Caenorhabditis elegans: one gene and its partner. The protein of the gene in region 2 interacts with the protein of the main gene of each other region in a pairwise test. Each region holds a gene or a part of one and is shown on either strand. Other genes may lie near its edges.

Region 1 (7,333 bases), on a different chromosome or scaffold from region 2:
ATTTTTCCTAACTACAGTAACCCTACCGTAATCCTACAGTACTACTACAGTACCATTACAGTACCTTGACATTATCATCCACCAACTTTCAAGCCAACACCTCTTCAAAAGTTTAAAATTCAATTTTTCTTAAACTACAGTAACCCTACAGTAATCCTACAGTACCCCTACAGTACCACTACAGTACCTTAGCATTATCATCCACCAACTTTCAAGCCAACACCTCTTCAAAAGTTTAAAATTCAATTTTCCTGAAACTACAGGAACCCTACAGTAATCCTACAGTACCCCTACAGTACCACTACAGTACTTTGACATTATCATCCACCAACTTTCAAGCCAACACCTCTTCAAAAGTTTAAAATTCAATTTTCCTTAAACTACAGTAACCCTACAGTAATCCTACAGTACCCCTACAGTACCCCTACAGTACCACTACAGTACTTTGACATTATCATCCACCAACTTTCAAGCCAACACCTCTTCAAAAGTTTAAAATTCAATTTTCCTTAAACTACAGTAACCCTACAGTAATCCTACAGTACCCCTACAGTACCCCTACAGTACCACTACAGTACCTTGACATTACCATCTACCAACTTCCAAGCCAATACCTCTTAAAATGTTTAAAAATCAATTTTTCCTAAACTACAGTAACCCTACAGTAATCCTACAGTACCCCTAAAACACTACAGTACCTTGACATTTTAAATTGATATGACACATTTAAATTAAATTTTGAATTCCCGCCAAAATGGTTTCAAAAAATTAAATTTTGAATTCCCGCCAAAATGTTTTCAAAATTTAAAATTTTGAATTCCCGCCAAAATATTTTCTCAGAAAATTTGAATTCCCGCCAATTTGTGATGACGTCACAAAAGGGGCGGGGCCTATGTGACCCCTCTTGTGTGATTGAGACTACAAACTACAGAGTTCAAAGACCAAAGATCAAAGATCAAACTACATAGGGACAGAACGACACGCGCTTTATATATAGTAAATTGATTATGGCAATAAAATAAAGTTTCTTAATAATTTTTTGGATTGGATTGTAAACAATTTTATTATCTCAAACAAACCAGATTTTTCATGGATTTAACTGGATCCAAGGGTCTCGATGATCTGCTGGTATTGAGCGATCTTTGGGGCGGCATTCTTCTTGGCTTGAACGGTTCATTCTAAGTATCTTATTTTATTCAGCGATTTCGTACACCTGCACCATATGTGGCCATCGAGACGCAGAAGATGACTGAGACTGAAGAGACTGGAGAATTTGATCATGTTACTGTGCGCGTCACTGCTATAGAGCCCAAGAAAATGCTCTCTTTTTTCTAGTACTGAATAGTAGTTTGATTGAAAATCTCCTGACTGGGCAATTTTCGGTTTGTACGGTGGAGCGCGTTTGCGTTCATCTAGATTTTGAAAAATATAAAAGATAAACTAAAAAAAAAGTTTCCCGTGTTCCAATAAAAAACGAAACATTTTAATTTTTGAATTGGCGTGAACTTTTTTCTACCGCCGCTATATTCTGGATTGAGGGGGGAGGGATACGTGGAAAAAAATGTCGGAGTGAAAAAAAATCAATATATTTATTTCAAGGTTTTCGTTTTCCAAAAATGGTGGGAAAGGAAAAGAAGGAATCTACGAGGCTAAAATTAAGGTGAGTGCTTTCAATCGCCTTGCAAGGATCCTTGGAAATGGGAGAATGGCCGTGCGAAACCTCTTCCACGGCGCCAACCATCGGGTACTGTAGACGAGATGTTTCGCTCGTGTCAGGACCCAAGTTTTCATCAACAAATTTACATTTTTTCAGCGCAATAAAAGAGTATCTTGGAAAATATAGAGGTGTAGACGCAGACAATAATGAAGGATACGATGGTCATCAGAAATGGCATGAAAATGATCAAGTTGTACGCAGGACTTTATCAGATTTTACAGGACAAATAGATAAATTTCAGGTTCTGCAAGCCATGGCCTACTTCTATAAGGCTGTGAAAAGCAAATTATACTCTGAAGTACGATCTTTTTTGGGCATTTTGCTTCCACATGGCCCGGACGATGGTCGCCTTTCTTCTCTTCAAAGTCTTCTAATGGATACATCTTCTGAAGAATCTCTTAAAGTTCGTCAACGCCTGAAAGACCGCTAAAGGCCGGCCTAAGCCGGCCCACCTACCGCCTACACCCTAAAGACCCTCTAATGGCCCGATAACGGCCCGCATACGGCAGCCAACGCCTAAAGGCCTAAAGGCCCGGTAAGGCTGGCTATCCACCGACGAAAGCGTACGTCCGCCTACGCATACCTACGCCCGCCTACTTTGCCTATATCCACCTACGAACGCCTGCACCCGCCTACAACGCATACACTCGCCTACATCCGCCTACGTCCGCGTACGCCGGCCTACACCCCTGAAAGACCTCTCAAGACCAGGTAAGGTTTGCTAACGCCCGCCTACACTCGCTTATGACCGCCTACGACCGCCTACTTTGCCTACATCCACCTATGATAGCCTGCACCCGCCTACAACACATACGCTTGCCTACGTCCTGTAACGCCCTTTTGAATTACAGGAAGCTCTTCTATTATCGATTGCCGTCGGAAGTCGTCCACTAGTCGAGTTTGTTCTCGTACTTTTCGTCGATGCACCATACCTTGAAAGAAGTGGTAAGTGTGAGGAAGTTTGTATTAAAGCGCATTTGCATCACACTAATTTCAGGATCTGCTAATTCTCCACATTTTCCACCACATATGACTCCACTGATGCTGGCATGCATTTTGAATAATTTTTCGATTGTTCAGTGTCTTATAACTAGAGGACATTGTATTCAGATACCACATTTCATTACTTGTGAGTTCAAACATCATATTTGACGCGCAAACATTGCAAAAGAGCGAACATGCGTCGGTAGGACCGAATGCACCATATTCTACGCGCAAAAATGGTAAAGTGTTGCAGGTGAATGCAAAACCTGCAAACGGGAAACCGTAACAACCCACTCATCAACTCGCCTCGTCGACGTCATGCGTGCACTGTCCTCTGAAGCCTACCTGTGGCTGGCAACTGATGACGTGTTCGCTGCCACGTGTGCTGTCGCCCGAGACCTTCAACAATTGGCGAGCGATGATCAGCTGGAATACGTGGAAACCTATCGAGACCTCGAGATGAATGTGCAACGGTTTTTGTGCAGAATTTCAGATCAAGCATGGAGAGTCGACGAGTTCAATATGATGGTTGCTAATGTAAGAATTTGTGTTAAATTTTAGATATTGGGAGAATTTAAATTGAATTTCAGAGAAACTACTGCCCGGAAAGAATGACTGAAATCTCATCACCGCGTCTTCAAATGGCTATGGATTCTCAAATGAGACAATTCACGTGCTCCACCAATTCACAGACAACTATTAAGTCTGTCTTCAGATCAGGTAACTGTTTTTGAGGGTGAAGTCCTGAGGCGAGCCGTAGGCGATGATGAGGCGTAATCGTGCCTACCTACCATAGACTTTCTAATGGCCTTATAGCTGACCTCATACACTTTTCAGACTGGTACAACTATGGAATCAAGCCAAAACGAGATGCTTGGCGTTTTCTGCGAGCCTGTATCCTGATGCCATTCCTTGTGATGCTTCATGCATTTATGCCAACAAAGGGTACAACAATGTGCGTTCCACTTGCTCGATTCATTGCTCACATCACAATGTACTTGGTCTTCCTCATCGCCGCAATTCTCCGTCCAACAATCGGTTTCTACTTTGCATGGACTGATAGTAGTAAGTGGATTTTGAATTTTCATAGTTAAAAGCTTAGGTTTAGGTTTAGGTTTAAGCTTAGGCTTAGGGTTAGGCGTAGGCTTAGGCTTAAGGTTTCACCTTAGGCTTCGGCTTAAGATCGGGCTTAAGCTTACAACATTTTTTGTGAAATTGAAATTTTTTCAGTTGAAGTAACTGTACAAGCACTCGAAATCTTCATGTACGCCTATGTGATGGGATTAGCTCTGGAGAAGGGAATTCTATTCTATAGAGTCGGACGAGATGGATTTTTTGCCTTCTGGTGGAGATGGTTCGATGCGGCTTTGATCTTTATTTTCTTGTTTTCACTGATATTTTTTACTGGAAAATGGGGAAAACGAGAAGCTTTCGATCCGAGTTCCGTTGACAGAATGCACTGGGTTCGGCTGAAATCTTTTGAATAATTAATTAGTTGAAATTTTCAGCCATCTTTCGAATTCTCACTTCTCCATGAGATATGTCTTGCGATCGCCTGTGTGCTGAGTATTTTAAAATGTTTTTACTATGCTCAGATGATGAAATCAATCGGTGGATCTGTTGTAAGTGGAGTTTGCGCGTAGAATTCGATGTTTTGACCGCAAAAACAAAAAAAGTCTCTTGAGCTACATAGGCAGACAGCCTGCCCAGATACTTACCTACTGTCTATTGTGTGTGCTTTGGCAGCGGGAAACTGAATATTTTCAAGTCATCGTACCGCTACAGTATCCCTACAATACTACTACAGTGCCCAACACAGTAATCCTAGTAGTCCTACAGTGCCATTACAGCAAGTATACAGTGGTTATACAGTAGTCCTACAGTCCTCCTACACTACTCATTCATATGTCTAATACTAAGTTGTTCCCAAATTAAAATAATCCTACAGTGCTACTACAATAATCTTACAATAGTCCTACAGTAATCCTAAAGTAATCCTACACTCGTTCCACAGTAATATCACAGTAATCCTACAGTACCACTACAGTAGTCCTACAGTAAACTTAATTTTTCCAGATATCTGTCGGAAAATGTGTTGGGAAGACGTACACATACATACTCATCATGGTCGCAATCATCGTTTCGTTTTCTGTTGGATTGAATATTATCGTCGACCCATACTTGAATCGAAGTACCATGAAAATAGGAGATCAGGATTATACAAAGACCACGGATTCTTATGAAACGTCAGTTCTTTTTTTCTATATTTTATCTGAGACAACATATATATTTTCAGAATTGGAACATCCTCTAAAAACCTGTTCTGGTCAATTTTCGGTTACTTGGGACCCTCAACATTCACTACAGTTGTTGGAAACACTGGTCCAAACATGGATCCTGTGAAACATACTTTGAACTCGTCAACTTTCGAAATTCTCGCTGCTGTTTATCACGGAATTCTGATAATTACAGTACTCAATTTGATGACATCGATACTTGTGAAAGGAGCTGATGAGGTGTTGGATAATGAGGAAATGGAGTTCAAATTCACACGAGCAGCTATTTATTCCGAGTTTCTCTCGTGGGAAATGGCGGCTCCGCCACCGCTTAATTTGATTCTTGTAGTTGCTCATTTTGTGCATCGGAATTTGGTACGTTGAATTCGAATTGGAATTTTTCAAAAACCTCTGCTTTCAGCTCAAGAGATACTATGCTTCACCGGCGTGGGGCGAGAAGCCGGCAAATGATGATGTTGAGGATCAGGCAGCAGATGAGCAGTACATGGTGAGTCTGAAGCTTGAGTTGTAGGCAGGCACGCCTACCTACGAACCTGCCTGCTGCCTATTTGTACAATGAGCTGACACATAAAATTTTGTGTATTTTCAGCAACTTCTGATGGTGGTTTTCGCTCGATTCGTTGCTTCCAAGGAGTGCAAGTACAAGTCGATTTGGAGATCCGAATTTCATGTAAGCTTGGCTAGGCGTAGGCAGGCATGCGGTATACTGTAGGTCTGGAAAGAAGTTTACGCGCATTTGCACCAGCCTTTGAAAATTTCGAAACCATTTCATTTACTATATATAAAGCGCTTATTCTGTGTGTCCATAGTTTGTAGTCTATGTAGTCTTTGTAGTCTGTGAAGTTTTGGCTTCTGTGGGGATAGTGAGTTGGGGTTAGTGTAGGGATATAGTCGGGGTACTGTAGTGGTACAATAGTGGTACGGTAGGAATACTGTAGGGTTACGGTAGTTTCAGAAAAGTTAGTTTTCAGCCCCAGAAGTCGGGGGCCGCGCCGGAGGTGCGGTCCACGGCTGGTTTAGGAATAACATTTTTGGGTTTGTTGAGCTTTTCATGCAGGCCTGGGTACTAGAGGGGTGGGCCTTAAAGTCAGGCAGGCACCTCAAACATGCCTGCCTGTGCCTACCTTAAGTTTGGCTGCCTATTTACGTGACTTATACAAGTATGCCTCAAAGTCTACGTGCCCCCCTCAACTCTGCGTACCTGCCTACGTGCCTGCCTACCGCCTATTTCCGATTGTAGTCTGAAAACGTCTACCGACGACCGTATCTAACTCAGTTGGTACTTGTGTAGACATAAGGCAGGCGTAGGCAGGCAGGCATGCATTTCCATATAATTTATGGAATTTTCAGAGAGAGGAAAAACAACCGCCTCGAGTGACATTCCTCACAACCGGAGCCCATTCCTTCCTTATGGACAACACTTTCGAAGGATTCAAAATGAGGTCATCTCGAACCATGGAAGCTGAAGGATACAAGGAATACACCACTGTCCAGTATTATGTGCCTAAGAGTAAGACACCGGGTCCAGCTGCTGCAGCTGATGCAGGAACTAAAGTGGCTCCGAAGGATGACAAACCTCAAAACAACCCGGTTCTAGCTAGAACTGGAATCGATTCTCCAGTTCCATCTTCTAAACAGGTTATGTCTTCGGAATTATCTGCTAGCATTCCGAGAGCTCGCGACGTCACATTCCTCGGTGTCTGAAGCAATCGGAGTTTTTGTTTTAAGCGGAAAATATTAATTATGTATCCATTGTGTTTATTATGACTTCGAACTGAAATAAATCGAGAAATTGGAACTTTTGTGATTTATTTGCTATTCAATTCTGATAGATAAAATACAGCAAAGCACGAGCAGGAGGTAGGCAGGCAGGTGGGCAGGCAGGCGAGCTAACAAGCAGCTTCGATGTGATGGATCGGCAAGCTGGGAGGTAGGTAGGTTTAAGATCAGTAAGAAATAGACAAACAGGCTCAAGATAGGCAGGCGAACAGGTAGGCAGGCCGGCTTCAGATAAGCATATATGCAGCCAGTTGATGTTAGGGATGTCGGCAGACTTGAGATAGGCCCTTCATGTAGGCATGTAGGCAATCATAAGGTATGCATGTACGCAACAATACCCATACATGTTCCTCTAACTATACGTATTCCCCATCATATCATCATCACCCGATTCAAATAGTTCCCATTCCAGTTCCAAATTGCTGTCGTCGATCATCGATGAATCCGCCCTTCCAACTTTTGTTACAGCCTCCTCTTGGCTTCGCAAGTCAATAATTATGATCGTAAACGATTGGAAATGGATTTGAAAGAGAGATAGAAAGGGGAAGAACAGAGA
Region 2 (5,619 bases):
CTTTTAAAAATTTTGTTTACTTTTTGTTTATGTTGTATTGTGTTGAAAACTAAATTGTGCCGAATTATACGCATCATTTTGAAAAAGGTAACTCTCTGCCAATTTTAAGTTCTTGAAAGTCATCTATCATCTAATTTGAACGGTTTTATTTATGTAAGCCAAGTCAGTAAGAAAGTGAGTTTAAAAAATAGATAATACAAAAAATAAATATGAAAAATAAATACAAAACCAAGATTTTGGCGAGTTTGTGGTTTCTTACAATAAATTCTTGATAGATTAACAGATACCTTCAAAAACAAATCAATGGTTGAAATACTAATTTTTAACGAAACCAGGAATTCCTACAACTGTCAAAATTAAACTGGCACATGGGAAATTGAGTATCAAACAAGCAAATTAATGTTTTCTAGTCAAATCAGGGATCAAACACAAAGAATAAAAAATCTAAGGTTGTGTAACCAATGAAAAACCGAACACTGACCAAGTTTAGTCAAATTGAAAGTGGGTGAAAAATGACTGTCGACCGAAAACCAGTCAGTATGAAAAGTCTGTTGAAATTGTCGCCGACAACGGGGGTAACCACGACGATTTCGGGTTTCACACACCATCAAATATATCCTTTTGTGCGTCTCTCTTATGGAACAATATACAAGTTACGATATATTTTTTTTTGATTTTCTGTCTCTCTACTATCCAAATTTTATATTTATTGGGGAAAAATGTACAGTATAGATTGAAGCCTGGTGAGCAATCGGAAGCAAAATCATTTTCTTTGTTTTTTGTTTTTTTTTATTCGTCGTATCTATTGAAAAGAGGCAACATTGCGTCGGAAGCCCCAAAAAGGGACGGGAATGACAGTACAATTGAATTCTTCTCTTCAGAAATCTGAAATTCTTCAGAGAATTAGAAATACAATTAAAAGTTGTGTTCGAGGGGACAAGAACATAACCACACCCATCCGTTTTATTGAGGATCTGAATGTTCACGTCATAAAATGAAAAAAAAGGGGTTTGTTTATAGGTGTTCTCTATATCGGATTGACCCAAATCGGCCTACAAAAAGAGGAAATGAGATATGAAGTGGCAATAGATACAGTGATATGATAACAAGCATTACGATAAGCAACTCGTTTTTTTCATTGCAATGAAGCAACGAAAATTAGTGAACGCCTGTTCCGAAATCAGATGTACTTCTGGTGATAAAAAGAAATAAACAATCGATGTACTTTTGGTAACGTGTATTCTGTAATTCAGTTCACAAATGTTTGAAAAATTAATATTGTTGCCAGCGGTTCCGAGAGATGTATATCCTATAGTTAGTGTATACTATAGTTCCATTGAAGCTCGTAGTTCTGAAAAATTCGAAATAATTGGTTTCATAGGCACACAAGTAGGCACATTTTGCTTGAAAACCTTATTCTAACTTTTCCACGTATAACCGTTTCAAAACATGAGCTATTGAATCACATAGGTCTCAAATGCCAATCCGTTTGGCTCTCTTGGCTCTTTAGTAAGCAAAGCCGAGAAAAGGGACACCTGCAGTTTCCCAATTCGGAGAAAATGTTCAAAACGTGAACTCAAATCTGTTTGCCAGCGGTTCACAAATTTTCAAAACGTATCATGGTGAAAATATTTATTTCACCTTTTTAAAATCTAACTGAATTGTATCAACTATGGGCTTAATTGGATTATGGAATGTAAAACGTCGAGCCAATCGAGCTGTGAGAAAGTTTCAATTTGTGGTTAATAATATCAGACGGTTGGTTAGAGTGTGGATTTTGTTCAAACACATGAAAAATTTCAGAGAAAAATCAGGTCAAAACCGAGTTTTAAGATATTCTGAACGTTTGAAAAAATGGTTGTCCGTTTTATATCCTCCATGGAAAAAGGAAAAAGATGATGGGATTTATGACAATTTATTCGAAGATGGAACAAGGTTTTTGGAATTATTTTGAGAAAAAAGAAAATCTTAAAATTATTTTTCCAGAGCTAATTCTATTGTACTTCTATTCCGAAACATCCTAATGATTGAATTATTTGGAATAGTTATGTATTTTCTGTTGTCGTTCAAATATTCACAATACCCGGAGTTGTAAGTAGATCATATCCTAAATCTAAAGTTAAATATTTTCAATATAGTATTGGAACTTCCATATCCACAATTATCCACGTTTTTCTGATTTTCACTTTGATATTTCCAAAAGTAAGTACTTCAGGATTTTTATGTGGAATTAATAAAATATTTCGTTTCAGATGATGACGTACTTTATGATTTCTATCCACGTCATGTTGACTACAAAAATCAAAAACATAATTTTAATTCTTCTTGTCACAATGGCTTTTGAAGTTTTATCAATTCATCTATTCACGGGAACATCTCAAACTAATTTCAGGGTCCTGCAATGAATGTTATTGGAAATATTCATCAAGTAGCTTCTGGTGTTGCCTGCGTTCAAATTGATGTTATGAGTTCAAGAAATGATGTGGAAGGGAATGTAATGGATAAAGGAGCTATGCTTGTTTCTCGGTTTCGTGCACTTCTTCAAAATGTATCTGGTCCAATGAATAAGGTCAAGAAAATGCTATTGGTTCTAGATGAAAAGATGACAAAGTAAGTTGCAATTGGGATACCCAAAATGTCAAATTCTTGTAATTTGATTAAATTGATATTGTTTCAATTAAGATTTGTGGACATCATGAGGCGACATTATCGAGTTATAGCCAACTTGTCAAATCAATGTCGAAATATGCTCAAAACTCCCTATACAAAATGTCTTGATATTTTCGACGACGCATATTTTTATTGTAAGGGGAAAGCTCGATTTTTTGGAAGCCACGGCGATGCTTGTGAAATGATTCAGAAAACTGCAAAGGTATTCAATCAGTCAACATATCAATCCTATTATAAAACATTAAGATTTGCCATCAAGCAAAGGGTTTCTCAACGGAAGTATGTTCTTTACCTTCTATCATTGGAAAAGGAGTTAAAGGAGCAGCTGTACCATTTTATGCAGCTTACTTTCAAGCAATTGAATTCGCGGTGAAAAAGATTTTCTACGTACACATTGAAGCAGCAAAATGGGCACTGAAGAAAGTGAATCCAGTGATAGAAGAGATAAAAAAGGCGAAAAACATTCGAGCTGAATACCAGTCATCTGATGATGGTAAACCAAATGCTGCAGATGATACAACTGCAAACTTGAGAGCAAGTATAAAGAAAAGTTTGATGGGAATTGTGAATGTATACATACGGATTATCAATATAATTTCATTTATTCTTCGATATTGTATCATGCCAGGATTGCTCATATGGCCGTTCATCTATGTGAGTTTAAATAAGTAATATGTTAACATACAAAATTTTGAACTGATATTTTTCAGACACTTCGGTTCATGTATAACTACAACTATAATGACGACTTTAAAAACCGTTTTCTCACAAAAGAATTTACAAAAATTGATCAAGATTGTGCATTTCGCGGAGCTCGTAAAGTCATGCCATTAATGGCAAATGAATCAAAGCAGGTAGGTTTCTCTGGTTCATTATCATTCTAAAAATCTTAGACACCGTTTAGTATGTCAGTCGAGGTCAGTGGAAAATGACAGAACAAGAGCGACCTAAATTTCGATTAGATATTTTCATCACAATTGTCAGTTGTGTCACTCCTTTCTTTATGTGTATGCTTGATTATGGTATATTTACGGTAATTAAATGAATAAAATTATATTGACTTCAAATCTATAGATTCAAAGTTTCAGACTCTATCAACTGTTCATACTTTAATGAACCGAACAAATATCGATACTCCTGCTCATTATGAATTGAAAGTTGCTGGAAATAGTTCAATGTCAGATGTGATGAATGAATTTCTCGATGTTTTCAGTCCATTTACTAAAAGTATTCGAGACCGTGAAAATCGTTGGAGACGATGTTTCAACGAACCAAATCCTCCAAACTATACAGAAAATATGGTGATGTTTCTCATGTTTATCGCTGCACTTTTTCTTTGTCGATTGAAGGTTTGAAGAGTTGAGGAGTACTGTTAAGATATATTTAATTTTTGAAGGCATATTTTGGAAGGCAAACACTTGTATTGGCAGATTACTTCTTTCCGAATCGAGTAAGAATTCGTGCATTGAGCCTTTATAACAAAATTTTACAAAGTCGACGAAATTTGCTGACAGAAATGTTAGGAAATAATAAGGTAAATGGGAATTTCCGGTCTCGAGTTGACTGAAATATTTTCAATTCCTCGATATTCACAACTTAAACATTGAAAAAAAGTTAGCCACTACAGTACTACTTACTACATCACTACGTCACCGGTACCGTATTTTTTGAGTGATAAATCCCGATTTTGCGAATTGATAGTATTCAAAAACAGATATATTTTTTCCTGAATTTGACATTCCGATTTGATTTAAAAGTAATTTTTGCACTCGTAACATTGATAATTGACAGAAAGATGTAGTGGGTGGTGAAGATGTCATAATTCGGAGAACAATGCAAAGTCGTGGATTCGTGTGCTCCGATTGTGTAAAATGTGAAAAGTACGATATGAAAGTGTCTGATCAAGAGTTAGTTTTGTTTATTGATGATCAAGAAAACAAAGCTATTAATTCAGAAATGTGCGAGTGTGTGTTCATTGTAGTGCTTTTTACTGTATCAACTGTTTCTCAGTGACTCTTTTCTGTGTGAAATGCGAGGAGGAAATGCAATGTATTAACGGGATTGAGCTATACTATGAGGAGAGTAACGCAATTATTGATGACTCAGGTAAAATTAACTTTATTTAAACATTAATAATCATCTATTCCAGATATTTCATTGAGTGAACGCGAAGACGACGAACCTGACAAAGAACCAACAGAAGGAACAACCACCACCGCAGTAACCACTGTCGTCTGAATGATGTTTGAAAAATTAACTTTCCCGCCGTTGGGGAAAGCGCGCTCCAATGACAATGTACTTTTCGAGTTCAAATTTATTTGCCTTTTGGCGCAGTTTTCGAAATGATTTCGTTCATTTATTAGTTTTCTTATTATTTCCTCGAACTTCAATGATTATTTTCCAATTGAATTCAAATAAATTATCATTTAAACTTCATTTTATTTGTTATTTATGGGTTTTCCCGTTTGGAACTCTAATTCACTGATTTATTGTTTCAGAAATGATGGGTGATAGTCATTCTTCATTCACAACAACGACAGATGAACATCTATATAATCAATTTTCTCCGGGAAGAAGGTATCAATTAAGTAAAGATTCATACAATGAGAATAATTATAGAAAGAACGATTTTCCCGCTGCAAGCAGTTCATCATCTTCACCAAACTTGCGAAGGTCCCCAAACCGCACAGTCAGTTCACCGCGTGTTCAACAGAAGCCAATCACAATTTTCGATCAAATCGTGGATTGGTTTCAAGCGGAAATCAGTGTTAGAAAGAGATTAGCTGGTGCTGCATGCGGATATCTGTCCACCATTTTCTTCATTGTCACAGTATCCATTTTGAAACTCACGATTTGGGCCCCTTTCAGCTCAGTTCAAGGTTGACGTTTATTTATTTTTCTATGATTGGACATTTCTCTTTTTCAGACTCCCTGGCGTGGTGGATTTAT

Evidence for each region.
Region 1: the proteins of spe-42 (region 2) and spe-41 interact in a two-hybrid assay, tested with the Caenorhabditis elegans proteins (one study listed by BioGRID).

Annotation. Positions count from the first base shown.
Region 1 is NC_003281.10:3,438,474-3,445,806, reverse strand, and holds spe-41 (Transient receptor ion channel domain-containing protein), read left to right. Parts: upstream 1-1,599; 5' UTR 1,600-1,616; coding exon 1,617-1,660; intron 1,661-1,813; coding exon 1,814-1,910; exon of another isoform or gene 1,911-1,958; coding exon 1,959-2,120; intron 2,121-2,568; coding exon 2,569-2,662; intron 2,663-2,714; coding exon 2,715-2,846; intron 2,847-2,954; coding exon 2,955-3,238; intron 3,239-3,291; coding exon 3,292-3,421; intron 3,422-3,538; coding exon 3,539-3,766; intron 3,767-3,931; coding exon 3,932-4,164; intron 4,165-4,209; coding exon 4,210-4,323; intron 4,324-4,777; coding exon 4,778-4,947; intron 4,948-4,997; coding exon 4,998-5,352; intron 5,353-5,398; coding exon 5,399-5,485; intron 5,486-5,587; coding exon 5,588-5,668; intron 5,669-6,348; coding exon 6,349-6,702; 3' UTR 6,703-6,796; downstream 6,797-7,333.
Region 2 is NC_003283.11:11,733,022-11,738,640, reverse strand, and holds spe-42 (Dendritic cell-specific transmembrane protein-like domain-containing protein), read left to right. Parts: upstream 1-1,644; 5' UTR 1,645-1,672; coding exon 1,673-1,758; intron 1,759-1,803; coding exon 1,804-1,935; intron 1,936-1,986; coding exon 1,987-2,091; intron 2,092-2,138; coding exon 2,139-2,202; intron 2,203-2,252; coding exon 2,253-2,345; intron 2,346-2,392; coding exon 2,393-2,610; intron 2,611-2,682; coding exon 2,683-2,872; intron 2,873-2,916; coding exon 2,917-3,324; intron 3,325-3,380; coding exon 3,381-3,524; intron 3,525-3,574; coding exon 3,575-3,703; intron 3,704-3,758; coding exon 3,759-4,019; intron 4,020-4,066; coding exon 4,067-4,204; intron 4,205-4,461; coding exon 4,462-4,577; intron 4,578-4,624; coding exon 4,625-4,776; intron 4,777-4,819; coding exon 4,820-4,908; 3' UTR 4,909-5,101; downstream 5,102-5,619. Other genes in the region: npp-22 (Nucleoporin ndc-1), read left to right, coding at 5,171-5,247, 5,290-5,549, 5,597-5,619.